3 linked regions of the Pelodiscus sinensis genome follow. The protein of the gene in region 2 purifies or fractionates together with the protein of the main gene of each other region. This does not show direct contact. Links are inferred from orthologs where the notes say so. Each region holds a gene or a part of one and is shown on either strand. Other genes may lie near its edges.

Region 1 (9,802 bases), on a different chromosome or scaffold from region 2:
CAGGACTAGGCTGATAAGAGGGCTGGTACTTACCCGCTGCAGAGCACTGGGGACGGTGCTCCAGGACTAGGCTGATAAGAGGGCTGGTACTTACCCGCTGCAGAGCACTGGGGACGGTGCTCCAGGACTAGGCTGATAAGAGGGCTGGTACTTACCCGCTGCAGAGCACTGGGGACGGTGCTCCAGGACTAGGCTGATAAGAGGGCTGGTACTTACCCCCTGCAGAGCACTGGGGACGGTGCTCCAGGACTAGGCTGATAAGAGGGCTGGTACTTACCCGCTGCAGAGCACTGGGGACGGTGCTACAGGACTAGGCTGATAAGAGGGGTGGTACTTACCCGCTGCAGAGCACTGGGGACGGTGCTCCAGGACTAGGCTGATAAGAGGGCTGGTACTTACCCGCTGCAGAGCACTGGGGACGGTGCTCCAGGACTAGGCTGATAAGAGGGGTGGTACTTACCCGCTGCAGAGCACTGGGGATGGTGCTACAGGACTAGGCTGATAAGAGGGGTGGTACTTACCCGCTGCAGAGCACTGGGGACGGTGCTCCAGGACTAGGCTGATAAGAGGGGTGGTACTTACCCGCTGCAGAGCACTGGGGACGGTGCTCCAGGACTAGGCTGATAAGAGGGCTGGTACTTACCCGCGAGGGATGTAAAATCTCGATAAATCAGTTAACCGGTTCAGGCCTGCGTTTACCTACCGTTGAACCGGTTAACTGGCTCAGTGGAATCCTGGGTAGGGGACTGCCCCAATCCGGATGGAGCAGCCCCATGCAGGGCTGGCTGCTGGATCCAGCGGCCAACTGAGTGGGGTGGGGGCCTAGAACACAGCAAGGTGCGGGCGGGGACTGCTCCCAGGTAACCCTTACTCCTCACATCCCTAACAGAAGCGGCAGCTTTAGCATCTTCATAACCAACCTGGCCCTGTTTCACAGGAGACAGGGAACTGGCGAAGCAGGACGTTTTCCTTGCTGTGGAGCCCGGATTCATAGACCCACCAGAATGGCCGTTCTCCAAACAAGAACCTGGGGGCAGAAAGAGGAGACAGAGCTGAGGTCTGAAAAGCAAAATGCTGAAGGCTCCTGGAAGCCACAGGAGCTTCAGGGGGCGCCAAGGGTGTCACGCGCGGGGGGCGCTGCAGGGAGTCGCGCGGAGGGGGCGCTGCGGGGAGTCGTGCGGGGGGGCGACAGGGGGCGCTGCGGGGAGTCGCGCGGGGGGGCGGCAGGGGGCGCTGCGGGGAGTCACGTGCGGGGCGGCAGGGGGCGCTACGGGGGGGGCGGCAGGGCGCGCTGCGGGGAGTCGCGTGGGGGGGGGGGGCGCTGCGGGGTGTCCCGCGGGGGGGCGGGGGGCGCTGCGGGGTGTCCCGCGGGGGGGCCCCCCCTCACCACTTGGCCAGCACGTTGAGCCACTCGGCCAGGCAGCCCAGCCAGAGCACCGCCCGCCCGACGCGCCGCTCCAGGCCGTAGGCCAGCGGGAAGAGGCCGCTGAAGACGCGCGCGGGGTCGGCCAGCGCGGTCAGGCCCAGCCACAGGCCCTCCAGGGGGGGCGGCCCGGCCTGCAGCGCCCCGGCCCAGCGCGCCCCGCCGCGGTACAGCGCCTCCATCGGCCCCCGGACCCGCCCTCCTGTCCCGGCCGCCTCGGCGGGATCCCGCCCCGCCCCCGAGTCCAGCGTCTGCCCCGGCACGCACCCCTCCGACCCCCCCGGCACGCACCCCCCTCCCACGGCACCCCCCCGCCCCCTCCGACCCTCCCCGGCACGCACCCCCCTCCCACGGCACCCCCCCGCCCCCTCCGACCCCCCCCGGCACGCACCCCCCTCCCACGGCACACCCCCGCCCCCTCCGACCCCCCCGGCACGCACCCCCCCGCCCCCTCTGACCCCCCCGGCAATCACCCCCCCACTGCCCCCTCTGACCCCCCCAGCACTCACTCTCCCCACCCCCTCTGACCCCCCTAGCTCTCACCCCCTCCTGCCCCCTGTAGCCCCCTCCAGCACTCACCCCCGCCCCTTGTAGCCCCCCCGGCATGCACCCCCCCACTGACCCCTCTGACCTCCCCTGGCACGCACCCCCCCCCACTCCCTCTGACCCTCCCCTGGCACTCACCCTCCCGGCCCCTGTAGCCCCCTCCGGCACTCACCCCCCCCCCCCCACTGCCCCCTGTAGCCCCCCCTGCACTCACCCCCCCGCCCCCTGTAGCCCCCCCTGGCACACACCCCCCCCCACTGCCCTCTGTAGCCCCCCCTGGCACGCACCCCCGCACACTGCTCCCTGTAATCCCCCCCGGCACTCACTGACCCCATCCGGCACTCACCCCCAGTGCCTCCTGTAACTCCCCAGTACCCACCCCCCCATGCCACCTGTTACCCTCCCAGTGCCTCCTGTATGTCCTCACTGCCACTTGTAGCCTTACCCGCACTGCCTCCTGTAGCCCCCATCCTCCACTGCCACCTTCCAGGCAGCCTTTCTCCTGCATTAAGAAGCAAAAAGGATCACACACCAGAGTTAAAACAAAGAAAGAAATGCTTGTAGGCTACCTTTAATTTATTCAGTGGTAATAAACAAATTTTCTTTTTGCTAAACTGCTGCTTACAAAGGGACAATGAAACCTTTTCTTTGTCCCTTTCGGAAAAAGTAAGGAAGATGCCTTGATGCTTCCTCAAGGGATGTTCATAAGAGAAAAACTTAAAAAACAAAATCTGGTCTGTAGCACTTTATAGACTAACAAAACATGTAGATGGTATCATGAGCCTTTGCAAAAAAGTTAGAAAATGAGTTTGGGATCCATCCTTTCATGGTGCAATTTGCTTCTCCAAGATTGCTGCAGCCTTGGCTACTTTGGAATGATGACATGCAAAGTGTTTCACCAGGGATAAGGAAACTGGAGGAGTTCACTATTTTATTCTGCGTCATAGCATCTTTTTAAGGATTGGAGCCACTGTATTTTTTGTTCAGGTGTGTTGGTTTTTGGTTGCTTGTAGGCTTGTCTGTTTGATTTTTGGTTTTTTGCACACATGCTACACTGCAAACTTTAGTGAAAAATAAGATCCACAACTGGTGCCAGGATCTCCTTGCAGGGACTGGGGCCTATATTTGTATCACACATGCATTCCGTATTGGGATGGGTTCCCAAACTTGGGGGCGTGAAGAAATTCCAGGGGGGTGTGAGGTGACCCAGCCCCCCCCCTTCAAGTCCTCTCCCCCTCCAGTTTTGCTGCTATTTTTGTTTTTCGGCCCGGGGCAGTTCCTTTTTTTTTTGCTTTTGCTGAACAAGATTTGCTGCTATTTTTTATTTGGAGGGGGTGAGGGTTTCTTAAAAATCAAAAAGGGGGTGTGATGCCCAAAAGTTTGGGAACCACTGGTAGACTGTATGGCTGCGTCAGACTGGCAAGATTGTGCGCAAATACTTTTAACGGAAAAGTTTTTCTGTTAAAAGTATTTGCGCAAGAGAGCGTCTAGACTGGCATGTGCCTTTGCGCAAAAGCATCCGTGCCAGTGTAGACGCTCTCTTGCGCAATAAGCTCTGCCGGCCATGTTAGCCATCGGGCTTTCTTACGCAAGAAATTAACGTTGCTGTCTACACTGGCCTCTTGCACAAGAGGGCTTATCCCTGGGCGGGAGAGTCGCAGTATTTGCGCAAGAAGCCCTGGTTTTGTACATTACAACGTCAGTGTTCTTGCGCAAATACTCGCGGCTAGTGTAGACAGGTGGCAAGAGTTTGCGCAAAGTCATACCAGTCTAGACACAGCCATCATTTTTCTGGGTTGGGGAACTGATTGTTGATGTGTCAGTAAAATGTTTGACTCATTTGCCACAGCAGAAAGGGTGGTGAATAATAAATATGAGCTTTATTTTCCTCGTTGTTTATTTGCATGAACCCACTTTGGGAATTACTTAATGCAGCATTCCTGTAAGGCAGCAATGAGGAACCTAGGCTAGTGAGTGGCCCTTCTTCGCCTCAGTGGGCCACAAGACTGTCATAACCAAGATAAAAGGAAAAACTATGTAGCACTTTCAAGACGAACAAGATGGTTTAATAGGTGATGAGCTTTTGTGGGCCAGACCCACTTCCTCAGATCATATTCTGGAAGAGAATTGGCATGACCATATATATCATAGCCACCAGCTAGGAGCACACAGAGCCACAACGGCGCCAAGGGGCACGCATAGACTCAACCTTGGGCACGCTGGAGCTTAGTGTAGGAATCACTACAGCTTGAGCTACAACCCAGCTGGCTCTCAGCTGAGGCTGTAGGGCTCCCCTTGCTCTTGTCTCTTGCTGTAGTGGTCTACAGTGGTGGCTTCTTGCGCAAGAACATCTTGCGCAAGAAGTCTTGCACAAGAACACGTCCACACTGCCATGTGTGAGCTGTCCTCTCTTCCCAGCCGTACTGTACATTTCCTTGTGCACGAGCTCCTGAGCAAGAGAGCTTACACCTGTTAGAAAAGGGCATCGCTCTTGTGCAAGAAGCCCTCTCTTCCCAGCCGTACCGTACATTTCCTTGTGCACCAGCTCCTGAGCAAGAGAGCTTACACCTGTTAGAAAAGAGCATCGCTCTTGTGCAAGAAGCCCTCTCTTCCCAGCCGTACCGTACATTTCCTTGTGCACCAGCTCCTGCGGAAGAGAGCATCGCTCTTGTGCAAGAAGCCCTCTCTTCCCAGCCGTACTGTACATTTCCTTGTGCACCAGCTCCTGCGGAAGAGAGCTTACACCTGTTAGAAAAGAGCATCGCTCTTGTGCAAGAAGCCCTCTCTTCCCAGCCGTACCGTACATTTCCTTGTGCACGAGCTCCTGAGCAAGAGAGCTTACACCTGTTAGAAAAGGGCATCGCTCTTGTGCAAGAAGCCCTCTCTTCCCAGCCGTACTGTACATTTCCTTGTGCACCAGCTCCTGCGGAAGAGAGCTTACACCTGTTAGAAAAGAGCATCGCTCTTGTGCAAGAAGCCCTCTCTTCCCAGCCGTACTGTACATTTCCTTGTGCACGAGCTCCTGAGCAAGAGAGCTTACACCTGTTAGAAAAGGGCATCGCTCTTGTGCAAGAAGCCCTCTCTTCCCAGCCGTACTGTACATTTCCTTGTGCACCAGCTCCTGCGGAAGAGAGCTTACACCTGTTAGAAAAGAGCATCGCTCTTGTGCAAGAAGCCCTCTCTTCCCAGCCGTACTGTACATTTCCTTGCGCACGAGCGGGCTGGCAGTGTGGACGCTGTGCGGGTTCGTGCAAGGACGGCCGTACTTGTGCAAGGAGCAGCGAGTGTAGCTATCGCCTAGGCGTGGGGGTGACACACCGGGCAGATCCCAATCCGTGCATGCAGCATAGTGCTGGAGATGCAGCCGAACGAAAGGCAGGACCAGGCAGCACTTTGCTAGGGGCGGGTCCGGCCCCGGAAGCTCATCCCCTAATAAACCGTCCGGGGAGCCTGTGAAGCGCTGCCCTGTCCTGCTGGCCACGCCCCTCCCTCCGCGTGTCCCCGCCCCGCCCTCTCTGCGGCCCCGCCCCCTTGCGCGATGACGCCAGACGCCGCGCGCGGGCCGACGTCCCGGCCTGGCCCCGCCCCCCGCCTGGCGTGGGGCTCCCTGGGGCTGAGCCGAGCCGCGGCCGCCGCTGCTGAGACAAGATGGCGGCCCCGGGCGAGTACTTCAGTGTGGGCAGCCAGGTGTCGTGCCGCACGTGCCAGGAGCAGCGGCTGCAGGGCGAGGTGGTGGCCTTCGACTACCCCAGCAAGATGCTGGCGCTCAGTATCCGCCGCGCGGGGGGTCCGGGGGGGGCGCTCAGTATCCGCCGCGCGGGGGGGCCTGTGGGCCCGGGGGGGGCGCTCAGTATCCGCCGCGCGGGGGGGCCTGTGGGCCCGGGGGGGGGGCGCTCAGTATCCGCCGCGCGGGGGGGCCTGTGGGCCCGGGGGGGGCGGCGCGGGACGGGGGGGGCGGCCTGTAGGCCGGGGGGGGCGGCGCTCAGTATCCGCCGGGCGGGGCGGGGGGGCCTGTGGGCCCGGGGGGGGGGCGGCGCTCAGTATCCGCCGCGCGGGGGGGCCTGTAGGCCGGGGGGGGCGGCGCTCAGTATCCGCGGGGCGGGGGGGGCGGCCTGTGGGCCCGGGGGGGGTGCGGGGGCGCGGCGCGGGACACGTGTGTGCGGGCGGGGGGGCGGGCCGGGGGCACTGGCCGTCGCGAGCCCCCGCTCAGTCTCGCTCCCACCTGCAGAGCCGCCGGGAGCGGGCCCCGCGCCTTTCCCCGCACGCCCGGGGGGCCTCGGCCGGCCGCTCCCCGCACCTGTGCCAGGCAGGGCCCGAGCGGGCCGCGGGAGCCCTGGAGAGGAAGAGGCGGCGCACGGAGGGTGCCTGGTGGGCCCAGGGCCTGGCTTCCCGGGGAAGGGTGCGCTCTGTACGCAGCTTTCCCCGTGTGCTCTCCTCCTCTTCCACCTTTCTCCCCTTTATGAGGGCCGTGCTCTTCCTGTGGTGGAGGGAGAGCTGATTGCTGGCGGCTTTTAAGCTGCAGACTGTTTCATTTCTATGGCTGAGGCCAGACTCCCTCTCCTCCTAGGAGTGGAGAAGCAGCGTGCAGAGCCATATGTCTAATGCAGTCTCCACACTCGTCTCTATATGTTCTTCTCTGCTTACTCTAGCAGACAGATGAAGGAGAGGAGGACTAACTATCCCTCTTCAGCAGGAACAGATTGCGCAGGAATTAATGTCAGTGCTATAAAGGTTTTTCTGGGGGTGGTAAGCTGGTGTCTAATTTACACGGTTCTGTCATTCTAGAAGTGACAAACTATCTCAAATGTATGTAAGGTTATGTTCTCTGAAGTGTGATTATGAATGGAAAAATCTCTTCTATGACTCTTTAGAGCTTGTCATCCATAGATGTAGGTGAAAGTATTAATAGAGTAACTTGTGTTCAGGTTGCATCTGCAGTAAGGGAATGTTATTTGGTCTAGAAACCCGGTGGCTGCGCTTAGACCGGCAAGTTTATCCAGAAAAACTTGCCAGCTGTCTACACTGGCGGCTTGAATTTCCGCAAGAGCACTGACGATCTCATGTAAGATTGTCAGTGTTCTTGCGGAAATACTATGCTGCTCCCGTTCGGTCAAAAGCCCTCTTGTGCAAATGCTTTTGCGCAAGAGGGCCAATGTAGACAACGCAGTATTGTTTTGCTCAAAAAAGCCCCTATCATGAAAATGGCGATCGGGGCTTTCTTGCACAAAACTGCGTATAGATAGGCACGGAGGCTTTTCCGAAAAAAGTGCTTTTGCGGAAAAGCGTCCATGCCAATCTAGACACTCTTTTTTAATGGGAAAACTTTTCCATTAAAAGCATTTGCGGAAAATCATGCCAGTCTAGACGTAGTCGGTGCGTGTTAAGGTTTCTCTCTATAGACAAGTAATTCTGGAGTATGGTTGGGTATGAAATTAAAGCTCAGTTGCTCGCCTGCAGTAGCTACCCATGTGTACATTTACTCCAGAAAGAGTGCCCCCACAGAGCTATTCTAGAGTAGTTTATTCGGCAGTGGCTTATTTTGCTCAATTTCTTCATGTTGAGAAACAAAGGATTAGTGACTGTTCTCTGTACTGATCAGCAAAACCTTGCCCCATGTCTGTTGAAAATCTTGCCCTTTCTATCTTCCTTGACTAGAATGGGGAAGGTTCTGTGTGCTCCTGAAAAGTACACTGCAGATCATGCAGCATCCGAGGTTGTCTAGTGTACTTACAACAGTTATTAGCAAAAACAGATTCAGTCCCATGGTCAGGAAACCCCTGCTGGCAGCAGCTGTGTTTAAATAATTGTTGCTAGCACTGTTTCTGCTTTTTACTGCTGACCAATCATTTCACTGTTATACACCTTAGTGCGGTGGAAGAACTTACCTGCTGAAAATCTAACTCCTCTGTTGATTTGTTCCCTAACCGGTATCATGTAGCCCTCCTTGCCAGTTTTCATTTCAGAGCTGTTAACTGTGTCCGCCTGGATTTGTTTTCCTTAATGCTATTTTCCTCCAGAATGTCCCTCTTCCAGTGGAAAGCCCAACCACGCAGATATCCTGCTCGTAAACTTACAGTATGTTTCAGAAGTGGAAATAATTAATGACCGCACGGAAACCCCTCCTCCTTTAGCTTCACTCAATGTTAGCAAGGTAAGGGCCCTTTATCCTTGTCTCTCCTTTTGTGTGCTCATGGATTTATGCTTGATTTAATTGACAGGAAGAGTAAATGCACTGTTACTTGTATTATGAATCAGTTGCATTTCTTACTGTTTAAATATCCTACTTTGCATGATATTTGGTTAGTTGACATGGCTTTTATCAATTTAAATCAGACTGGTCATGTGCATGGTGCTATTCTGGTTCTTCTTGTGCAGTGAAGCACTTAAACGTGCATTAAAGTTTCTATAAAAGGGCAGCCTGGGCATCTTTATACTTGGCAATTGTCATTAGGCTACAGTAGAAATTGTGGGAGGAATGGTCTTCCAAGGTGATTGGTCCATGGGCAGCTGAGCTCCTTGTTGTGCAGATGAAAATTTGAGAGTCTGGAATCTTGTGACCAGGCTTCATTAGGTGCTTCTGTTTTGCCAAAACATAGTACGGTGCATTCCTGGCTGAATGAAGCTAGAGGAGGAATCTATTGCCATCCAATTCTTCTGTTGGGTGTGGGTTACAAGGCACCTGACAAGACCAACTTTTCATAAGTCTTTTTTTTACCAGGCCTTTCTGGACAGTTGTCTGCCATGACTACCGTATATAGGTTCGTTTTGGGGCTTGTTTACACAGAAAATCCACCATGCTTTTGGATCTGATTTCAACATGGCCTTACCCTTGGAAACTGGCACTGTGGCTTAACGCTTGTGCTATGCTCTTGGCATTTCAAGTGCTGTGGGTGCAATTTGGGACCACTGCAAGACCCAGCTCTGTCAGGACTTTACTGTGTTGTGGTGGGTCTCAAAGGCTTATAAGATATGTGGACTTATGATCCAAAGACATCTACATTAGGACACCACCGTGGCAGTTCTGTACTAAACCCCTGTAACCCTTTACTGTGTAGACCCTTCCAGCTGTGCCGCTGTAGTGTAGACTCTTCCTATAGCAACAGAAGACGTGTTCTCATTGCTGTAGGAGACTGCCTTCCTGAACAACAGTAGCTATGATGACAACCATCCACTTAGCTGCATCTACACTGCATAGCTGTAGTGTTTGGGTGTGGATTTTTCACACCCTGAGTGCTTTAGCTATGTCAATCTAACTTTCAAGGTGTGGACCAGGCACAATGGCAGCTTTGAGTATTAAACTGTGTGAAGTGGCAGTGACAGAAGGCTTCCTACATTCACTATCTCATTGGCTGTCTGATGCATTACAATTCTGTTCCCACCTCCTCTTCTGCAGCTGCATAGATCCCTCTGCATCCTGCTAAAGCCCTGGTATCTCAGTGATAGGTAACACAGTGCTTTCCTGGCAACACAGCAGGAAGTGAAGAGTAACCTTCCTTTGTGTAACTGCAGTGGAAATTGGGGCAGGTGGATTATGATCACCTGAGCTGGCGTTTAGCCAGGACACCAGGGCTAACACAGTCCTTTTTGTATAAAGTGCAACAGTCTCTTCAGATACCACCAGTGGTCAGGCTGGGTAACTTGGCTGAAAAATACCTTGCTGTCTTCTTGCAGTGCTACTGCAGGGTTGTGCATTCATTGCTCACGGAGCATGCCATTAGTCGAGTCCCCTAACACTGCTATCTGCAGCACCCAGGGTTTCTTTGGGAGGGCTGTATTTGGCTACAGAATCACAGGTCAAAACACCTTGTATTTATATCTGCATCTCTATTAACA
Region 2 (9,822 bases):
GGCAAGGGAGCTGAGCCACGGCCCTGGTGCAGCCGTCTTCATAAGGATTGGGTCGCTATCCTTGGCATCGATGCCACCTGTACTGCCTCGGCAGGGCTGGAGCCTGCAGAAAGTGGATGTAGGCCAGACAATGAAGTCACTGATGAAGAGGTGAAGGTAAATGACAATGTGGGACCCATAGTAAGGTCACCCAGTGCTGCATCTAGACAGGAGCTGTTCTCAACTCCAGAATCACAGAACTGGCTGGGCCCTCAAGTCCAGTCCCCTGCTCTCACAGCTAAGGATCTCAACGTGAAGTCAATTATACAATTAACCAATACGCCTAGGCTTATGGGTTCATCTTGTCAACTACACACATCCTCCCGCTTGCTACCTCTGTGGGGGGAGCAGGAGCCGGTGCCTGTGAGATGCTAGCTTAAAAGCAGCTCCCCATGAGCACCGGATCCACCTGGCCCCCCACCCGCCACGCTGCTGCCTCTGGTAGAGAGGCAGCAGCACAGAGGGTGAGGGGGCAGGCTAGAGTTGATATGTGTGGGCTCCCATTGACCCACATTCCCCCACCTTGCTGTCTCCTACAGAGGCAGTGAGGAGGGGCACGCAGAAGCCGGTGCTGCCTCCTGCCCTGCCGCTTGCATCAGAGGCAGCAGCACAGGGGGGGAAGGGGGCGGGGGAGGCTGCCATGAAGCAACGTCTGTCAGCGGGAGAGCCAAGCTTCCCATGGAGCAGCCTGTCTGTGGGGAGCTCAGACCCTCCATGGACGAGGCTGCTGCTCTGTATCAAGAGGCAGCAGTTCAGGGCAGCCGGTCTGCACAGGGAGCTGGTTTTTAAACTGGCTCCCCTCATGGACTGACTCCACCTGCCATCCCACACTGCTGCCCCTGTGGCAGGGGCTCCTGGGAGTGCACAGGCTGCTGGCCCCACCCACAGGGACTATCGAATAGTCGTGTAACCACAGTTACACTACATCTAACATCCCTACTCACAATCCAGATCGGGGCGGGGAACCTTTTTTGGGTTGGTGGCCACTGACCCTCAGAAAAAAAGCAGTCAAGGGCTGCACACAAGTTAGGGGAAAACCCCCTCATTGACGTGGCCACCCACTGGGAAGCAGAAAGATGTTCCCCACAGTCCCCTGTGCACTAGAGCCCAGAGGGCCCAACTAAGGATGTTCAAATGCGGTTATCAGGCTAATCGTATAGTTGATACAATTTGTATCAACTCCAGGAGCCACCTGCACTGCGGCTCTGCATTTTAAATGTAGTAAGAGCTGCTGGGCTCCTACTACATTTAAAATGCAAAGGCGGAGAGATCAGCACAAGCCAGGACTGGTTGGCCCCAGCTTGCACTGAGTCCAGCAGCCCCTGTTCATGATGGACAGCCCTGTCCGCTGCAAACCTCTGCCTGCGGCCAGCCCTGGTTGCTGCAAACAGGGGCTGCTTGGCAGCAACAGCCCCAGTCCACGGGGTGTCCAGCTCCCTGCTGGGACCTCTATGGATAGGGGCTGCTTTGCAGCAGCCTGCCCTATCTGCCCCCTTGCTGCCTCTCATAGGGAAGGGCGCAGCAGGGAGAGCAAGACCAGTGGGCCCTCAAGCTGTCCCCACTGACCCTGTGTTCCCACTTCAGCCTTTGAAATGTACAAGAGAGCTGCAGGAAGCAGGGGGCCAGCAAGACAGTCCCTGTTCTCCCTGTGGCACTTTCAGCGGTTGCACGGTTACCTGTTTAACCCACTTTTTACATCTCTCGTCAATAGTGTGACATGGCTGCAAAAATAAGCAGACATCACTCTGGGATACATTAATATGAGTGCTGTCAGCAAGACATGAGAAGTCATTCTTCTGCTCTACTCCATGCTGATTAGGCCTCAGTTGGGAGTACCGTGTCCGGTTCCAGGCACCATATTTCAGGAAAGATGTGCAAACATTGGGAAAAGGCAAAAGAAGAGCACCAAAAGTGATTAAAGGTCTGCAAAACCTGACCTATTCTGGAAGACTGAAAGAAATGGATTTGTTTAGTCCGGAAAAGAGAAATCTGAGAGGGGGCATGATAGTAGCTTTCAAGTACCTAAGAAGTTGTTAGACAAAGGAGGGAGAAAATGTATTCTCCTACACCTCTGATCATAGGACAAGAAGCAACTGGCTTAAATTTCAGAGAAGGAGATTTATGGGGGACATTAGGAAAAGTTTCCCGTCAAGGTGCTTAAGTGCTGGAATAAATTGCCTAGGGAGATTATGGAATCGCTATCATTAGACAAGCACCTGTCAGAGATGCTCTACATGGTGCTTGGTCCTGCCTGCAGGGGACTAGATTTGAAGACCTCTCCAGGGTCCTTCCAGTTCCATGACTTAGGTGTCCCTGTGCTGCTGGGCTGGGGTGAGCTCAGCACATTTCCCAGAAGATTACAGTGCGGGTGGTCTAGGTTGGATATTAGGGAAAACTATTTCCCTAGGACGGTGGTGAAGCACTGGAATGGGTTCCCTAGGGAGGTGGTGGCATCTCCATCCCTAGAGGTTAAGCCCCAGCTTGACAAAGCCCTGGCTGGGTTGATTTAGTTGGGATTGGTCCTGCTTTGGGCAGGGGGCTGGAATCATAGAATCATAGGGCTGGAAGAGACCTCAGAATGGACTTGATGATCTCCTGAGGTCTCTTCCAGCCCTATGATTTGAAGGTGTCTTTCCTCATCCAAAAGTTCTGCAGCTGAAAACATACATAACAACGTGACCCACCTGAGCCAAAAGTGACGTGCTCCATGGTGCGCAACTGTTCCCTGAATGCCCAAAGTGATCAAATGCCGCTTCTGCCAAACTCAGACGATGCCTCAGGCAACAGTGAATCCCATGAGGTTTGAAACTTCACCATTAGCTACAGGGCTGTTCAGTGCCGTGCTGCTGACAGTTATGCTAATACGGGAGAGCCGGGTGGGATCCTCTCTTGTACACAGCGATGGCAAGGGGAGCAGAAAACAAGGGATTTAGAAAAATGCTTAGCATGCCGGGACCATAGAGTCCAGACCCATGACGCCATCCGCTCTGCCTTCCCACAAGAGCTAACAGTGAAGGTGGAGAGCTACCCACACTGCAGTGCTCTCTGTTCATGCTGCTGCCCCAAGTGTGGAAGTGCTCTGCAGACAGAGGACAATGGGAACATGAAACACCACCTTTCTTTTAGGGCTTTTTGATCAGCAGCTACACTTTCAGTGAAGCAATTCGGGCAGAATAGATATACCTAGAAACAGGACGTGAAATGTTAACAAGGAGGGTAATTAATGACTGGGATAATTTCCCAAGGATTGTGGTGGATTCTCCTCCACTGACTGTTTAAAATCAAGATTGGATTTGTTCCTTAAAGATCTGATCTAGTTCAAATAGCCATTAACTCAAGGCTGCCTATACACTGGGACACAGAGGTCAGACCAGACAATTGAATCTGCCACCATCTCAATCCGCTCTACCTCTTCTCCTCTGCCCCCTCCCCAGCTCCACCCCTCCAGTTCCTCCCTCATCTGCCCCTCCCCAACTCCACCCCCTCCTGCTTCCTCCCTCCTCTGCCCCCTCCCCAACTCCACCCCCTCCTGCTTCCACCCTCCTCTGCCCCCTCCCCGATTCCACCCCCTCCTGCTTCCCCCCTCCTCTGCCCCCTCCCCGGCTCCACCCACTCCTGCTTCCCCCCTCCTCTGCCCCCTCCCCGGCTCCACCCCCTCCTGCTTCCTCCCTCCTCCGCCCCCTCCCCGGCTCCACCCCCTCCTGCTTCCCACCCTCTCCTGCTTCCCCCCTCCTCTGCCCCCTCTCCGGCTCCACCCCCTCCTGCTTCCCCCCTCCTCTGCCCCCTCCCCGGCTCCACCCCACCTGCTTCCTCCCTCATCTGCCCCCTCCCCGGCTCCGCCCCCTCCTGCTTCCCCCCTCCTCTGCCCCCTCCCCGGCTCCACCCCACCTGCTTCCTCCCTCATCTGCTCCCTCCCCGGCTCCACCCCCTCCTGCTTCCTCCTTCATCTGCCTCCTCTCCAACTCCACCCCTCCTGCTTCCTCCCTCCTCCGCCCCCTCCCCGGCTCCACGCCCTCCTGCTTCCTCCCTCCTCCGCCCCCTCTCCGGCTCCACCCCCTCCTGCTTCCTCCCTCCTCCGCCCCCTCCCCAGCTCCATCCCCCTCCTGATTACTCCCTCATCTTCCCCCTCCCCGGCTCCGCCCCCTCCTGCTTCCTCCCTCCTGTTCCCCCTCCCCGGCTCCGCCCCCTCCTGCTTCCTCCCTCCTCTGCCCCCTCCCCGGCTCCACCCCCTCCTGCTTCCCCCCTCCTCGGCTCCACCCCCTCCTGCTTCCCCCCTCCTCTGCCCCCTCCCCGGCTCCACCCCCTCCTGCTTCCCCCCTCCTCGGCTCCACCCCCTCCTGCTTCCTCCCTCCTCTGCCCCCTCCCCGGCTCCGCCCCCTCCTGCTTCCTCCCTCCTCTGCTCCCTCCCCGGCTCCACCCCCTCCTGCTTCCTCCCTCCTCCGCCCCGTCCCCACGCCCTCCTGCTTCCTCCCTCCTCCGCCCCCTCTCCAGCTCCACCCCCTCCTGCTTCCTCCCTCCCTGGCTCCACCCCTCCTGCTTCCTCCCTCCTCCGCCCCCTCCCTGGCTCCACGCCCTCCTGCTTCCTCCCTCCTCCGCCCCCTCCCCGGCTTCACGCCCTCCTGCTTCCTCCCTCCTCCGCCCCCTCCCCGGCTCCGCCCCCTCCTGCTTCCTCCCTCCTCCGCCCCCTCCCCGGCTCCACCCCCTCCTGCTTCCTCCCTCATCTTCCCCCTCCCCGGCTCCACCCCCTCCTGCTTCCTCCCTCCTCCGCCCCCTCCCCGGCTCCACCCCCTCCTGCTTCCTCCCTCATCTTCCCCCTCTCCGGCTCCACCCCCCTCCTGATTCCTCCCTCCTCCGCCCCCTCTCCGGCTCCACCCCCTCCTGCTTCCTCCCTCCTCCACCCCCCCCGGCTCCACCCCCTCCTGCTTCCTCCCTTCTCCGCCCCCTTCCCGGCTCCACCCCCTCCTGCTTCCTCCCTCATCTTCCCCCTCCCCGGCTCCACCCCCTCCTGCTTCCTCCCTCCTCTGCTCCCTCCCCGGCTCCACCCCCTCCTGCTTCCTCCCTCATCTTCCCCCTCCCCGGCTCCACCCCCCTCCTGCTTCCTCCCTCCTCCGCCCCCTCCCCAACTCCACCCCCTCCTGCTTCCACCCTCCTCTGCCCCCTCCCCGATTCCACCCCCTCCTGCTTCCCCCCTCCTCTGCCCCCTCCCCGGCTCCACCCCACCTGCTTCCTCCCTCATCTGCTCCCTCCCCGGCTCCACCCCCTCCTGCTTCCTCCTTCATCTGCCTCCTCTCCAACTCCACCCCTCCTGCTTCCTCCCTCCTCCACCCCCCCTGGCTCCACCCCCTCCTGCTTCCTCCCTCATCTTCCCCCTCCCCGGCTCCGCCCCCTCCTGCTTCCTCCCTCCTCCGCCCCCTCCCCGGCTCCGCCCCCTCCTGCTTCCTCTCCAGCTCTGTCCCCTCCCTGGGGACAGGGTGTGTACACGTCACGGTGGGGGCTGAGGCTGCGCAGGGCAAGAGCCGGGACTCATTTTTGTCCACTCTATAAGGCGCCCCTGGCGGAGGGATTCCGATGCGCTTGCGCTTTAAGTTTTCTCTGCCCCTCCCCGCCTCCGGCAAGTTCCCTCTCAAGGACGCGCATGCGCAGCGAGGGTCAGCTAGCGTGCGGCGGATAACACGCTCGGTGGGGGGGGCGCACGCGCAGAGGGAGTGCAGCTCTACGCATGCGCAGTAGAAAGCAGCCTGAAGGTTCCCTCCAACGCGTAGCGCCTCGGACGCTTCGTCTTCCCACGCATGCGCAACGCCCACCAACGGTCTTCTTACCCGGCGGAAGAATCTCAAAAAGTTCTCCACTCGTGTCATCACGTGGTTCGACTGATCACCGCGGTGCGGAGGTGCCCGGCTGGCGGTGCCGTCGGCGCAGGCGCAGTGAGCTGGCTTCCCCGCCGCGCTGCCCTTCTGCTCTCGGCTCAGCCAGGCTCATTGTGCGGAAGGAGCCAGGCCGCAGCGCGCTCCAGCCCGGCCGCCGGCGCCCCTCCCCCCGCCCCGCGCGCCAACCGCCGCCGCCTCGCGCCGCCGCTCGAGCCGCCTCGCGCGCGCGCGCCCGCCCGCCGGACTCCTCCGGGGCCGCGCCGGCGCCGCCATGTTGAAGCAGCCGCAGCCGCTGCCCCCGCAGCCCCCCCCGGGCGGCCCCGGGCCCCAGGCCGGGCCCCCGCCCGCCCGCAAGGCGCCGCCACCCGGCGCCCCCAGCCCCAACGGCAGCCTGAGCCCCAGCGCCGGGCCGGCCCGGGCCGCGGCCCCGACCGGGGGAGGCGGCGGCACCAGGTAACGGCGGGGCGGGGCCGGGGCCCTCGTGCGCGGCGGGGGGGCTGGGAGGGAGCGAGGGTCCCGTCACTGCGCGCGCGTCGCGGGGGGGGGGGGGCTCTAACAGCGCGAGCGCGGCGCTGATTGGTCGTTTGTACAGCCAATCCCCGCCCAGCGGCGCGCGAGAGCGAGACCCCGGCCCCTCCCCCGCCGTGGGACCCAGCGTCCGCCCCTCCCCCCCGCCACGGAACCCAGTGTCAGCTCCTCCCCCGCCGTGGGACCCAGCCTCCGCCCCTCCCCCTTCCCCCCCAGCCACGGAACCCAGTGTCAGCTCCTCCCCCGCCATGGGACCCAGCCACCGCCCCTCCCCCTTCCCCCCCAGCCACGGAACCCAGTGTCAGCTCCTCCCCCGCCGTGGGACCCAGCCTCCGCCCCTCCCCCTTCCCCCCCAGCCACGGAACCCAGTGTCAGCTCCTCCCCCGCCGTGGGGCCCAGCCTCCGCCCCTCCCCCTTCCCCCCCAGCCACGGAACCCAGTGTCAGCTCCTCCCCCGCCGTGGGACCCAGCCTCCGCCCCTCCCCCTTCCCCCCCAGCCACGGAACCCAGTGTCAGCTCCTCCCCCGCCGTGGGACCCAGCCTCCGCCCCTCCCCCTTCCCCCCAGCCACGGAACCCAGTGTCAGCTCCTCCCCCGCCGTGGGACCCAGCCTCCGCCCCTCCCCCTTCCCCCCCAGCCACGGAACCCAATGTCAGCTCCTCCCCCGCCGTGGGACCCAGCCTCCGCCCCTCCCCCTTCCCCCCCCAGCCACGGAACCCACTGTCAGCTCCTCCCCCGCCGTGGGACCCAGCCTCCGCCCCTCCCCCTTCCCCTCCCAGCCACGGAACCCAGTGTCAGCTCCTCCCCTGCCGTGGGACCCAGCCTCCGCCCCTCCCCCTTCCCCTCCCAGCCACGGAACCCAGTGTCAGCTCCTCTCCTGCCGTGGGACCCAGCGTCCGCCCCTCCCCCCCGCCACGGAACCCAGTGTCAGCTCCTCCCCCGCCGTGGGACCCAGCCTCCGCCCCTCCCCCTTCCCCCCCCCAGCCACGGAACCCAGTGTCAGCTCCTCCCCCGCCGTGGGACCCAGCCTCCGCCCCTCCCCCCCCGCCACGGAACCCAGTGTCAGCTCCTCCCCCGCCGTGGGACCCAGCCTCCGCCCCTCCCCCTTCCCCCCCCAGCCACGGAACCCAGTGTCAGCTCCTCCCCCGCCGTGGGACCCAGCGTCCGCCCCTCCCCCCCGCCACGGAACCCAGTGTCAGCTCCTCCCCCGCCGTGGGACCCAGCCTCCGCCCCTCCCCCTTTCCCCCCCAGCCACGGAACCCAGTGTCAGCTCCTCCCCCGCCGTGGGACCCAGCGTCCGCCCCTCCCCCCCGCCACGGAACCCAGTGTCAGCTCCTCCCCCGCCGTGGGACCCAGCCTCCGTCCCTCCCCCTTCCCCCCCAGCCACGGAACCCAGTGTCAGCTCCTCCCCCGCCGTGGGACCCAGCCTCCGCCCCTCCCCCTTCCCCCCCAGCCACGGAACCCAGTGTCAGCTCCTCCCCCGCCGTGGGGCCCAGCCTCCGCCCCTCCCCCTTCCCCCCCAGCCACAGAACCCAGTGTCAGCTCCTCCCCCGCCGTGGGACCCAGCCTCCGCCCCTCCCCCTTCCCCTCCCAGCCACGGAACCCAGTGTCAGCTCCTCTCCTGCCGTGGGACCCAGCGTCCGCCCCTCCCCCCCGCCACGGAACCCAGTGTCAGCTCCTCCCCCGCCGTGGGACCCAGCCTCCGCCCCTCCCCCTTCCCCCCCCAGCCACGGAACCCAGTGTCAGCTCCTCCCCCGCCGTGGGACCCAGCCTCCGCCCCTCCCCCCCCGCCACGGAACCCAGTGTCAGCTCCTCCCCCGCCGTGGGACCCAGCCTCCGCCCCTCCCCCTTTCCCCCCCAGCCACGGAACCCAGTGTCAGCTCCTCTCCTGCCGTGGGACCCAGCGTCCGCCCCTCCCCCCAGCCACGGAACCCAGTGTCAGCTCCTCCCCCGCCATGGGACCCAGCCTCCGCCCCTCCCCCTTCCCCCCAGCCACGGAACCCAGCGTCAGCTCCTCTCCTGCCGTGGGACCCAGCCTCCGCCCCTCCCCCTTCCCCCCCAGCCACGGAACCCAGTGTCCACTCCTCCCCCGCCGTGGGACCCAGCCTCCGCCCCTCCCCCTTCCCCCCCAGCCACGGAACCCAGTGTCCACTCCTCCTCTGCCATGGGACCCACTGTCCGCCCCTTCTCCCCCAGCCACGGAACCCAGTGTCCACTCCTCCTCTGCCATGGGACCCACTGTCCGCCCCTTCTCCCCCAGCCACGGTACCCAGTGTCCCATCCTGGGAACTCAGTGTCCGCCTTTTCCCTGCCGTGGGACCCAGCCTCCGCTCCTCTCCCTCCCTCCCCCCCAGCCACGGAACCCAGTGTCCACTCCTCCCCCGTCGTGGGACCCAGCCTCCGCCCCTCCCCCTTCCCGCCCCAGCCACGGAACCCAGAGTCCACTCCTCCCCCGCTGTGGGACCCAGCCACGGAACCCAGTATCCATTCCTCCCCCGCCATGGGACCCAGCGTCCGCCCCTCCCCCCCAGCCACGGAACCCAGTGTCCACTGCTCCCTTGCCGTGGGATCCAGCCTCCGCTCCTCCCCCTTTTACCCCCCAGGCACGGGACCCAGCATCTACTCCTTCCCCGCCGTGGGACCCAGCGTCCGCCCCTACCCCTTCCCCCCCCAGCCACGTAACCCAGAGTCCACTCCTCCCCCGCCGTGGGACCCAGCATCCGCCCCGTCCCTTCCCCCCCCCAGCCACAGAACCCAGCATCCACTCCTTCCCCGCCGTGGGACCCAGCATCCACCCCCTCTCCTCCCTCCTGCCATGGAAGCCAGCATCCGCCCCTCCCCTCCGCTGTGGAACCCAGTGTCTGCCCCTCTCCCTTCCCCCCCAGCCATGGAAACCCAGTGTCTTTCCCCCTAGCCATGGGACCCAGCATCTGCCCTTACCCCACCATGGGACCCAGGCGTCTGGCCTCCCAACCCCATCCTTCAGCCCCTGTCGTCCCTCCCAAACTCTAGGACCCAAGCATCTGGCCTCCTAGTTGCCCCTCACCCCCATCCCCACAGAGCCCGGACAGGACACACACATCCCCCCTCCATGAACCCTGGCTTCTGGTCTCCCAGCCCCACCTCCCCCACTCTGGAATTCAGGTGTCTGGCCTCCCCCCTTGCCTCTCCAGAGCCAGGATGGGCTCCCAGCAGCCCCTCCCACTCTCTCTGGCCACCACCCTGAGCTGGGACAGGACCCTGGTGTCCAGGCTTCTAGCATGTCCCCTCTCCTTGCCCACCCTACATCTCTTGCCCCTCCCAAAGATGAGCTAGAACCCAGGCATATAGGCTCCCTGCCCCCTACCCTCCACTCCCCAAGCAGAGCCAGACTAGATCCCAGGTGTCTAG
Region 3 (9,938 bases), on a different chromosome or scaffold from region 2:
TATAAACACAATGGCTACGTCTAGACTGACATGATTTTCCGGAAATGCTTTTAATGGAAAAGATTTCCGTTAAGAGCATTTCTGGAACAGAGCGTCTAGATTTGCGGAAAAGCATCCGTGCCAAAGCACTTTTTGTGAAAAGCGGCCGTACCAATCTAGACGCGCTTTTCCGCCAAAAAAGCCCTGATCGCCGTTTTCACAATTGGGGCTTTTTTGTGGAAAACAAATCTGAGCTGTCTACACTGGCCCTTTTGCCCGAAGGGGCGCAGCAGGGCATGTCCGCAAGCAGCACTGACAAGCGGACAGGCGCGCGTGGGTGCTGCTGTGGAAATTCAAGCGGCCGGTGTAGGCAGCCGGCAAGTTTTTCCGGCAAAGCGGCTGATTTTCCGGACACACTGGGCGGCCCAGGCACAGCCGGTGCAGCCCGCTGCTTTGGGCCAGGCCCGGAGGCCGAGCACACGGAGGCTGTTCGGTGCCCGGCGCAGAGCACACTGGGGGCGGGGGCGCCACTGACCAACCCCGCCCGGCCCGACTCACCGTGTCGGCCCCCGAGGGCTGGGCCCCGGCGCTCTGGCCGCCCATGACGCCCCGCAGGAAGTTCATGGCGGCCCGGGCCGGGGTCGCGCCGCGCTGGCGAGTGCGGGCCGCTCCCGGCTGCACCCGCCGCCCGCGCCGGAAGCAGCCGCGGCGCCTGCGCCGGGACGTGGCAGCGACGTGGCCGCTCAGAGGGCGAGCGAGGCGGGGCCGGGGCCTGACAGCCGCGCTCGGCCCGGCCTGCCCGCGGGCAGCGCTGTGGGGGCAGGGCCCCGCCTCGCCCCGGCCCCCGAGCGCCCGCCCCCGTCACGCACCGCCCCGAGCCCCCCCCCCCCGGTCCCTGAGCGCCCGCCCCCCCGTCACGCACCGCCCCCCGCCCCGAGCCCCCCCCACCCCGTCACGCACCGCCCCGAGCCCCCCCCCCGGTCCCTGAGCGCCCGCCCCCCCGTCACGCACCGCCCCCCGCCCCGAGCCCCCCCCCACCCCGTCACGCACCGCCCCGAGCCCCCCCCCACCCGATCACGCACTGCCCCCCCCGGTCCCTGAGCCCCCCCGGTCCCTGAGCCCCCCACTCCATCACGCACTGCCCCCTGGTCCCTGAGCCCCCCCCCGGTCCCTGAGCCCCCCACCCCATCACACACTGCCCCCCCGGTCCCTGAGCCCCCCACCCCATCAAACACTGCCCCCTGGACCCTGAGCCCCCCACCCCATCACACACTGCCCCCCCGGTCCCTGAGCCCCCCACCCCATCACACACTGCCCCCTGGTCCCTGAGCCCCCCACCCCATCACACACTGCCCCCCCGGTCCCTGAGCCCCCCACCCCATCAAACACTGCCCCCTGGACCCTGAGCCCCCCACCCCATCACACACTGCCCCCCCGGTCCCTGAGCCCCCCACCCCATCACACACTGCCCCCCCGGTCCCTGAGCCCCCCACCCCATCACACACTGCCCCCTGGTCCCTGAGCCCCCCACCCCATCACGCACCCCCCCAGTCCCTGAGCGCCTGCCCGCAGCCCCCATCACGCACTGCTCCCCCATTCCCGAGCCCCCCCAGTCCCTACGCCTATTCCACCCCATCATGCACCGCCCCCGTCCCCGAGTCCCCCCCGAACCCTCCTGTCTGTGAGCCCCCTCACCCCATCACGCACTGCTCCTGAACCCCCCTCCACCTCAACACACAGTGCTCCTGAGCCCCCTGCCCTTGAGTTCCGCTCATCCTAACATATACAACCCCTGAACTCTTCTCCACCTCAACATGAACAGCTCCTGAGTCCCCTCCCCATCTCAATGCACACAGCTCCTGAGACCCCCTCCACCAGCAACACAAACAGCTCCTAAGAGCCACCCACAGCTCCCACCTACCCTTAACATGCATAGCTCACAAGCCCCACTGGTCCCTGAACTCCTCTATTCCCAACACCACAACCAAGCCTTCCCCATCACTAACCCACACAGAGCCTGTGCTCCCACCTTAGCCACCACACAGTGGCTGACCTGCCACTCCATGCCTGACTTCAGCCTGATCAATGCTACACACACATAGACCAACACGCACAGAGCATCTGAGCCTCCCCATTCACTCACTCCACACACATGGGGGCTGTGTCTAGACTGCATCCCTTTTCCGTAAAATAGATGCAAATTAGACACATCGCAATTGCAAATGAAGCGGGGATTTAAATCCCCCCCGCTTCATTTGCATAAACATGGCTGCCGCTTTTTTCCGGCTTGGAGCTTTGTCAGAAAAAAGCGCCAGTCTAGACGGGGATCTTTCAGAAAATAAAGCCTTTTCCGAAAGACCCCTTAGATCCGAGCTGGAAAAAAGTGGCAGCCATGTTTATGCAAATGAAGCGGGGGGGATTTAAATCCCCGCTTCATTTGCAATTGCGATGTGTCTAATTTGCATCTCTTTTACGGAAAAGGGATGCAGTCTAGACACAGCCATGGAGCCTCAGGGCATGTCTACCTTACAAACTTACATGGACCTATCTTAGGTCAACTTACAGCTACCAAGTAATTACTGCTGTTTTCCATGTCCACATTATGCTCCTTCTCTTAGTGGTGCACAACCTCACCACTTCCGCCAACCTAAAAGGGGCAGTGCAGCGAAAGAAAGCCCCAGGGAATGCCTGAGCTATGAGCTAGGGTGGTGGTTCCCGCCATAGCACCCACCGGGGCATTTATGTGCACCCGCCAAGTGACCAGGACCGGCCCAAGCCATTCTTGCGCCCCGGGCGCATGGCGCATGCATGTCCCCTGCCCTGGACACATGGTGCAGGTGCGGCTCTGTCCCCAGGCGCGTGGCGCATGTGTGGCCCCGCCCCCGGACGCAGGACGCATGGCGCATGAGCGGCCCTGCTCCTGGGCGCCCAGCAGCCCCAAAAGGTTGGGGACCACTGCTGGGTTCACAGCAACAAGCCTACCACACTTTGTTGTTAATTTCAGGGCTCCTGTAGACAGCGTGAAATTGACAAGAATGACAGCCAACAACTGAGGGAATAAAGAAGTATCTACAGAGTTGCTGCAACACCCTTACTACACCAACATTAAACCCCTATGCCTCTCGTGGTGTTAGAGTTGTAAGTGCTCTATTCCACCAACACAAGTCCATGAAATAGAGCACTCTTCCTCCGACTTTTCTTACTCTTTGTACAATGAGGATTACAGGAGTCGGAGTAAGAAGTCCTTCAGCTTGACAGTATTTCGACATTATTTTGAAATAACTGCCTGCTGTGTAGACGCGGACTAAGGCTATGTCTACATTGGCAAGATTTTGCGCAAATACTTTTAACGCAAGAGTTTTTGCGTTAAAGCATTTGCATAAGAGAGCGTCTACACTGGCATGTGCTTTTGCGCAAGAGATGTGCTTTTGTGCAAAAGCATCCGTGCCAGTGTAGACGCTCTCTTGCGCAAGAAAGCTCCGATGGCCATTTTAGCTATCGGACTTTCTTGTGGAAGAAATTCATGTTGCCCATCTACACTGGCCTCTTGCGCAAGAACAGTTGCGCAAGAGGGATTATTCCTGAGCGGGAGCATCATAGTTCTTGTGCAAGAAGCACTGATTTCACATATTAGAACGTCAGTGTTCTTGCGCAAGAACTCCCCATCAGTGTAGACAGGCAGCATGTTTTTGTGCAAAAGCAGGTGCTTTTGCGCAAAATCATGCCAATGTAGACACAGCCTAAGTGTTTTAGTTTTGCCTGGAGGTCTGGTTGAGGGTTACAGAATTATCCCAGTTGTTATCTTGAAATTTCATTTAGATTTCTCTTATAAGCTGAAACTTCTAGTCATTTGGCATTGCTCATAGCCAGGAGATATTTTACTCCTAATTTAAACCTATGATTATTACATAGAGCAGTTTTATGTAATTCCAGTAGAAGTCTTTACTTCTCCTCCTCCCCCACCCCCCAAGAGTCTGAGGACTTTCAGTCCATTTTGAATTCTTCCATTGTGCAGTACCACTCTTCCTCAAGGGAAGCATCCTCCTTCAAGTGGTGACCAGACCAGGTAGCTAAGGAGGTTCACATATCTATATTTACTTTTATTTAGATTACAGAGGAAGAAGAGAAAACCATCCTGTTATCTAGAAAGAGATAGGCCAGAACTAGATTCCAGCAGATTTCAAAACCATCTATGCAAGGAAGACACAAATCAAGTTAAGATGACATCTCAAACCTTTCTATTCCACTAATCTGCCAACTCTTGTTTAAAAAACCACCATCTATGAAAAAGGTTATTTAAAATAACTATATTTCCCTTCTTAAGATAGTGGAAGTTAGTACTTAAAAGTTGATGTATATATATATATGTATATATATATGTGTGTGTGTGTGTATATATATATATATATATATATATATATAATTCTTACTGGTTTTGATTCAATTTAAAGATTTGCAGGACTGATGTAATTTAATTTCCCCATCAACTTTCTAAGTACCTGTATTCCTTTGTATGCAGATGGGATCAGAAGTAACTGATTCATACTCTGATTTGCCTATCCAGATGACAGCGTCCTATTTCGTTCTTCATTTTTATTGTATTTTAGATATTTTAATAAATAATTTAATAATAAATCTAAGTGACTAGATTATACGATTGCCCTATTATTGTGGTTTGACAGCCAAACACTGCAGTAGCAATACATCTAAAATCAATAAATGGATTTCTTAATAGTGATATGATACTCCAGGCTATCTATTTTCATTGTGCTAGAAATAGTGTGTGTACAACTTTGATAGGAGTACTCTAAAAGTCTTTTTAAAATAATTTATATGGATCTTCACACTGAACACTAACTTCCACATTTGCAATAGGAAATAAAAAGCGTTTGGTTATGCGATTGATGTACTGCCTCTTTAAGGTTCACATGGACCCTGATGATGATTAGGGGGCGGGACTGGAGTTTGCCTGTGTGCCCCAGGCCAGCAGTTCCACCTATCGGTGAGTGTCCTGGGCTACTTTGCCACGCAGCTACAGTTCCTGTGCAGGGAGAGGTTTGCTACAAGCTGACAAGGACCATTCGGCTTTTGGGTGAGAGCTTTTAACCGTGCAATTGCTCACAACAGCTCAGAATGAATCTGCATGTTTTCAGAGCATGACACCAAATCGCTCATTTCCCATTTTTTCCTTTCTGATAACTGAGACATTCTCTAATGGAAAGATTGCTAATGGGGGTAAAATAGTTTGTCTATGCACCAGCGGCTGGACCAAGACGTAGAAGAAAGAAAAGGATAATTTGTGAATAAATTTGTGTTTGGCAACTAAATACTCTGGTGGTGATAGATAGGTTAGAAAAGCCTAGTGTAAACTGTAAAATGCAAGGCCATTATGTTCTTGACAAATAGCTAGCTGCTTCTTGTTCAATTGCTTCCTATCCCCAGGGGATATATTGTTTCCTGGTTCCTCTCTTTATGTTTTTGTGGTTTACATTATTTTATAAACATATCCTGACTTGCTATTTACCTTGCTCTGCATCCACAAGACCTTTTTTCTTGGGCTCTTTTTTCCCAAAAGGAATTTTACGTATACATCACAGGTTTCAAAGCTGAATCTAGTTCGCAAAATATATATATATATTTTTAATTAGGCGAAGAATTGCTACTTCTGAAACACAGATACTGCCCTTTTGTGGGTTGCAAGTACAGCCAGCAGGGCTCCCTTGACCACAAGACTGCAAATTCCTCCCCCAGTCCCGAGCTACAGACCTCCTGTCCCACTCCCACTGCCTATTGTTTTGCCCGTTCCCATCTCCCCTGGTCCAGTGCCACTATCTGGAACGATCCCTGCAGGAGCTCGTGGCATTTTCCCTAGTCGCTCCTGCTCATTGGGTTGGAACGATCCCCACAGCTCGTGGCTCGTGCTGCTGCCCTGCAAAGAGCAAAGCCCCTTCCCGGGCCATTAGGGGGCCGCGCGCCTGCGGCCAAGTGCGGACGGGCAGGAGGAGGCGCGCGCCAGCCAACCCGCCCCTCTGCGTCACGCGGGCGGAAGCGGGTGGCTGCCGTACAACCCCCCTCGCGTGCGGTTCGGCGGGAAGTGAACGCTCCGCCGACGTCACAACGCGGACGCCGTTGATTGGTGGAAGCCCGGTGACGGGGGTTCCTGCCCTGGAACGCAGGGCGCGGAGAAGGGAGGGAGGAAGGGAGGGGGAGCGCGCGCGCGCGCCGGGAAAGGGGGGGGAGGGGAGACAATAAGGGAGCCGCGAAGCCGAAGCGCCCGGAGCCCGCGCCGCCGCCCCTCTCCTCAGGCTGCGCAGTGACCGCGCCCGCCCCCCCAGAGGCACCCCGCGGGAGAGGCCGCGCCCCGCGCACACGCCGCCAGGCCCCGGGGAGCGCCCTGCCCCGCGCACCCAGCCCGGCCCTAGGTGAGTGCGGGACGGGCCGCCCGGCATGTGCGCGGCCCCGCATCGGGCTGCCCCCCCCCCCCCCCCGCGGGCACGGCTGCGGGGACCCTCCCCCCTCCCTGCCCGGCCGGCGCGGGCCGCCTCCCGGAGCGGGGCAGGCTGCGCTCGGCTGGGGCCGGGGTGAGGGGAAGGCGGGCTGTCTCCGAACCCGAGGGAGCTCACACCCCCGGGCAAGGGGTATCGTTGGCAGACACGGCAGGGTGGGGGCTTCTCTGCATCCCGTTCCCAAGGCTCGGCGTTGCCCCCAGCAGTGGGGAGCCCGTGCTGCTGAGGGGGGGGGGTTATTTTTTTGTTTCTCACTTGTGTCCAGTCCCTGACTGGTTTTTTGTGTGTCAGTGACCTCCGACCCTAAAAAGCCCCCTGGTTTAGGCTGCAAAAGAAAGAAAATAGAGGCTGGTTGAGAAAGTAAAACTCAGGCGCTGAGGCTGGAGAGAGCACCTGTGTCAGCATCCTCTTCCCTCTCAGGGGTTATTCAGCCTTGCCCCATGTGTGGCTTTGAACCTTTGGTTGCATTTGCTATCTGCCTTTCTAATAGGCTAGGAGTTAGGCAACAGCACTAGACTCCATTACAAAGAGATCTGTTTGAGAGAGCTGCCTCGCTTTATCTTCACATTCCTGAGTCTCTGCTTTGCTCATTTAGAGAGCAGCAGGAAAGGTAACCTCAAAAGGTGAGGGAGGTGGTGGATGGACCAGTTTCTCAGCAGCATTTGACTCTCCAAGGGCCACATGGTACCTTTTGGACTGCATCTAAGGGAGGAAAATTTTATTACTGTGTTCTGTGTTTGTTCCAGGAGCTCTATTTTGATTCTTGTTACATTGGGACCGAGGGTATGTATACCTCCTATTTATTACATCAGATGCAATACCTATGTGGATTAAAAAAGGTTCTCTCTGATCACCCTATCTAGGTTTAGAAATTGTGTGGATATTCATAGTAAAAATTCTCCTGATAGGTCATCTCTTGTCCGTCCAGCAAGTTTTCTTTTGTTCTGCTTCTCCAGTATAATTTATATGGATGAAATATTTGTTCATTCATTCAGAAGTCTTCAAACCCACAGTACTTATCTCCATTTACAGGGTGTTTTGTGAGTGTTAAATATATTGAAGAGTAAGGATGTGAACAACAGTAAGCATAAGTAAGGGTGATGCTTACCTGTTACTGGTTAACCAGCGCCTGGGAGAGGCCTCACATCTGTGATGCACCACAGGCGGCTACTGGGAGCCACTCTGGCCAGGCCCACTATGCTGCAGGTGGGGAACTGCTCTGGTTGGCGCAGCCCCCGGCTTAATTGGTTAACATAACATTTAACTACTTAATTGGATAATGGAATTTTACGTCAAGAACCACATCTCTGACTTGAAGGTATAAACTATTGTCTGTTGCTTGCTTTCATTGTACTATATTATACCTGAACTTTGTTAGGAACACTCTCTTCCCCCAGTGGCTTTCAGTTTTTCAAAAATAAAGAGCCACTTGGTTAGGGAATGGAGCTGTGGAGAGACAAACATTGTTAGAGATTTATGGTGAAACTTGTAAAATGCCAATTCAGATACTAAAGAGCCGGCAATCCTGCAAAAACTTAGATATGTAAATAACACTGTTGACTTCAATGGTACTTATTAACCATGTGTTGCCTTAGTAGCTGCTCAGGCAAGTTTATCCACCAGTAGCTCCCCATAAAACTCTTTTACCCCACTGCCATAAACTCCCATCAGGCTGCTCCCTGCAACACCTCTGAAAGTTTGAGTAAACAGATAAACTTTGCAATGTGCCATGAAAGTCAACCATCTAGGTTATGTTTGTATAACATTTCATGATATCCAAACAGTATTATTAAACTTGCACACCTATATTTCTATTGTTGCTGATTACCAGGGCTCGCCAAGCGGCAGTGAGCCCTGCGCGGTTCTGCGCATGCGCAGATCGCTCTGCGCCGGCTCTTCCGGGGTGTAATCTGCTCGCCACGGGCAAGTAGATTACATTATTTGTTGAGCCCTGCTAATTACATATTATATGTATTATATAACCCTTAAGCAGAAGTTTTGTTTGTAGATAATCCAAGCATGACACCCTGGCATACACAGGTTGGGAGAGTTTCTGTACTAAATACATTTTTTTTTAACAGTAGCCTTAATAAAAGTTGTAAAATTAAGGCCTTTTTTTGGATAGCCCTGCCAACAGGTAGAACAGAAGGTTTATTGGTTCACAGGGATAACTCATAACTCAGACTTGTTAGCACAGGAACCAGGCGTAGTTAGTAAAATCTGTCTTGGGGATAGGGGCCCTAGGCCCCCTCCTTGAATCCTAAAATAGCTTAGACTCACTCACACGCCCAGCAACTGGTCCCAGCCTGCAGGCAGCCCCGCCTCCTCCTTTGTCCCCTTTCCTGGCAAAAGGTGTTATCTGGTTGCACCCTGCACCTAGGCTCAGGTTAAAAGAGAGTCTGAGCTATTGTGTACATGCTGGGGACAGACTGGGCAGCCCTCCCCCTCAGTGAGAGTCACACCCAAAACTCCCATCCACAGCTGGGCACGGGCACGGGTGCAGTGCCTTGGGAAACTGAGGTGCGCGTACACCCAGTTACAACAGTGCAGCACAGGACAGTAGAGATCACATACAACATGACGGTGTGAATACAATCCCCGCTTTGTCACACCCTCCCATGCTGTTTTTTAAGTGTGCTGGTCCAAAGCCTTTAGGAGCTTAAAATTTAGCTTTAATTTTACTTGGAAGTAACAGCTAGTCAGCCAGCACAGATCCTGCAGTACTGGTGTCATATGTCCATGGCAATATATGCTGCTGGCCAAGTAGGCTACCACCTGTAGTAGCTCAGGTTTCTAGATTGATAATCAGGTGTTGAAGTGACTAAGGAATAGACTATAGAAGGGTTTAAGGACTATGTTTATAATCTAACCGAATGCAAATTGCAGAGGTAGGGCAGGGGAAGCATTCATGACTCCTGCAGTTTGTGATCCAATAATGTTTAGACTGAAAATACCAGTCCCTCTGAGGTGGAGAGATGAAGTCCTCTGTATTCTGATTGAGGATATGCTATTATACATGAGAGAACCAGTTTTCTGGATTGAGTTTCAACTCTGTTATAATGACCACCTTTGGTATTTTAGGTTTGTAAATCTACCTTTTTATAGTACTTTGAGGAGAATATCACTCTGTTTCCATCCTGTGAATGTGGGGAAGAACATTTCTGCATTCAAGCAATTCTAGCATCTCTTTCAATTCCCCACCACATTATGGAGCCTACACTTGTAACTGGCTTGGAACCAGGTATGGAGTGAAGTGCACTTCAAAACCCTGTTGCAGGTGGTCCACACACTGTGCACATGACCTTAGAGCCAGAGCAGAGTACTGCTGTTGGACACCAAAGCTAGACTGCAGTGTTTAATGGTGGTGTTGTGCTAGCTGGAGTACTTTATTGGTTGATGTTCTGATGGTGAAATTGTGGGCATGAAGAACTGTGCTTTAGTTAGGGATGTGAA

Evidence for each region.
Region 1: the proteins of ATXN2L (region 2) and LSM12 purify together in Homo sapiens (affinity purification with mass spectrometry; 4 studies listed by BioGRID and IntAct, with this or other methods). This does not show direct contact. The link is inferred for Pelodiscus sinensis from reciprocal best matches to the Homo sapiens genes ATXN2L and LSM12.
Region 3: the proteins of ATXN2L (region 2) and G3BP2 purify together in Homo sapiens (affinity purification with mass spectrometry; 4 studies listed by BioGRID and IntAct, counting the BioPlex papers as one, with this or other methods). This does not show direct contact. The link is inferred for Pelodiscus sinensis from reciprocal best matches to the Homo sapiens genes ATXN2L and G3BP2.

Annotation. Positions count from the first base shown.
Region 1 is NW_027466028.1:356,602-366,403, reverse strand, and holds the start of LSM12 (protein LSM12), read left to right. Parts: upstream 1-5,531; 5' UTR 5,532-5,617; coding exon 5,618-5,738; intron 5,739-7,986; coding exon 7,987-8,120; intron 8,121-9,802. Other genes in the region: G6PC3 (glucose-6-phosphatase 3), read right to left, coding at 921-1,027, 2,415-2,471, 4,592-5,127. UniProt on the Homo sapiens protein: Nicotinic acid adenine dinucleotide phosphate (NAADP) binding protein. Confers NAADP sensitivity to the two pore channel complex (TPCs) by acting as TPC accessory protein necessary for NAADP-evoked Ca(2+) release.
Region 2 is NW_027465989.1:88,683-98,504, forward strand, and holds the start of ATXN2L (ataxin-2-like protein), read left to right. Parts: upstream 1-6,036; 5' UTR 6,037-6,177; coding exon 6,178-6,359; intron 6,360-9,822. UniProt on the Homo sapiens protein: Involved in the regulation of stress granule and P-body formation.
Region 3 is NC_134715.1:5,421,458-5,431,395, forward strand, and holds the start of G3BP2 (ras GTPase-activating protein-binding protein 2), read left to right. Parts: upstream 1-6,166; 5' UTR 6,167-6,401; intron 6,402-7,231; exon of another isoform or gene 7,232-7,268; intron 7,269-9,938. Other genes in the region: USO1 (general vesicular transport factor p115), read right to left, coding at 538-603.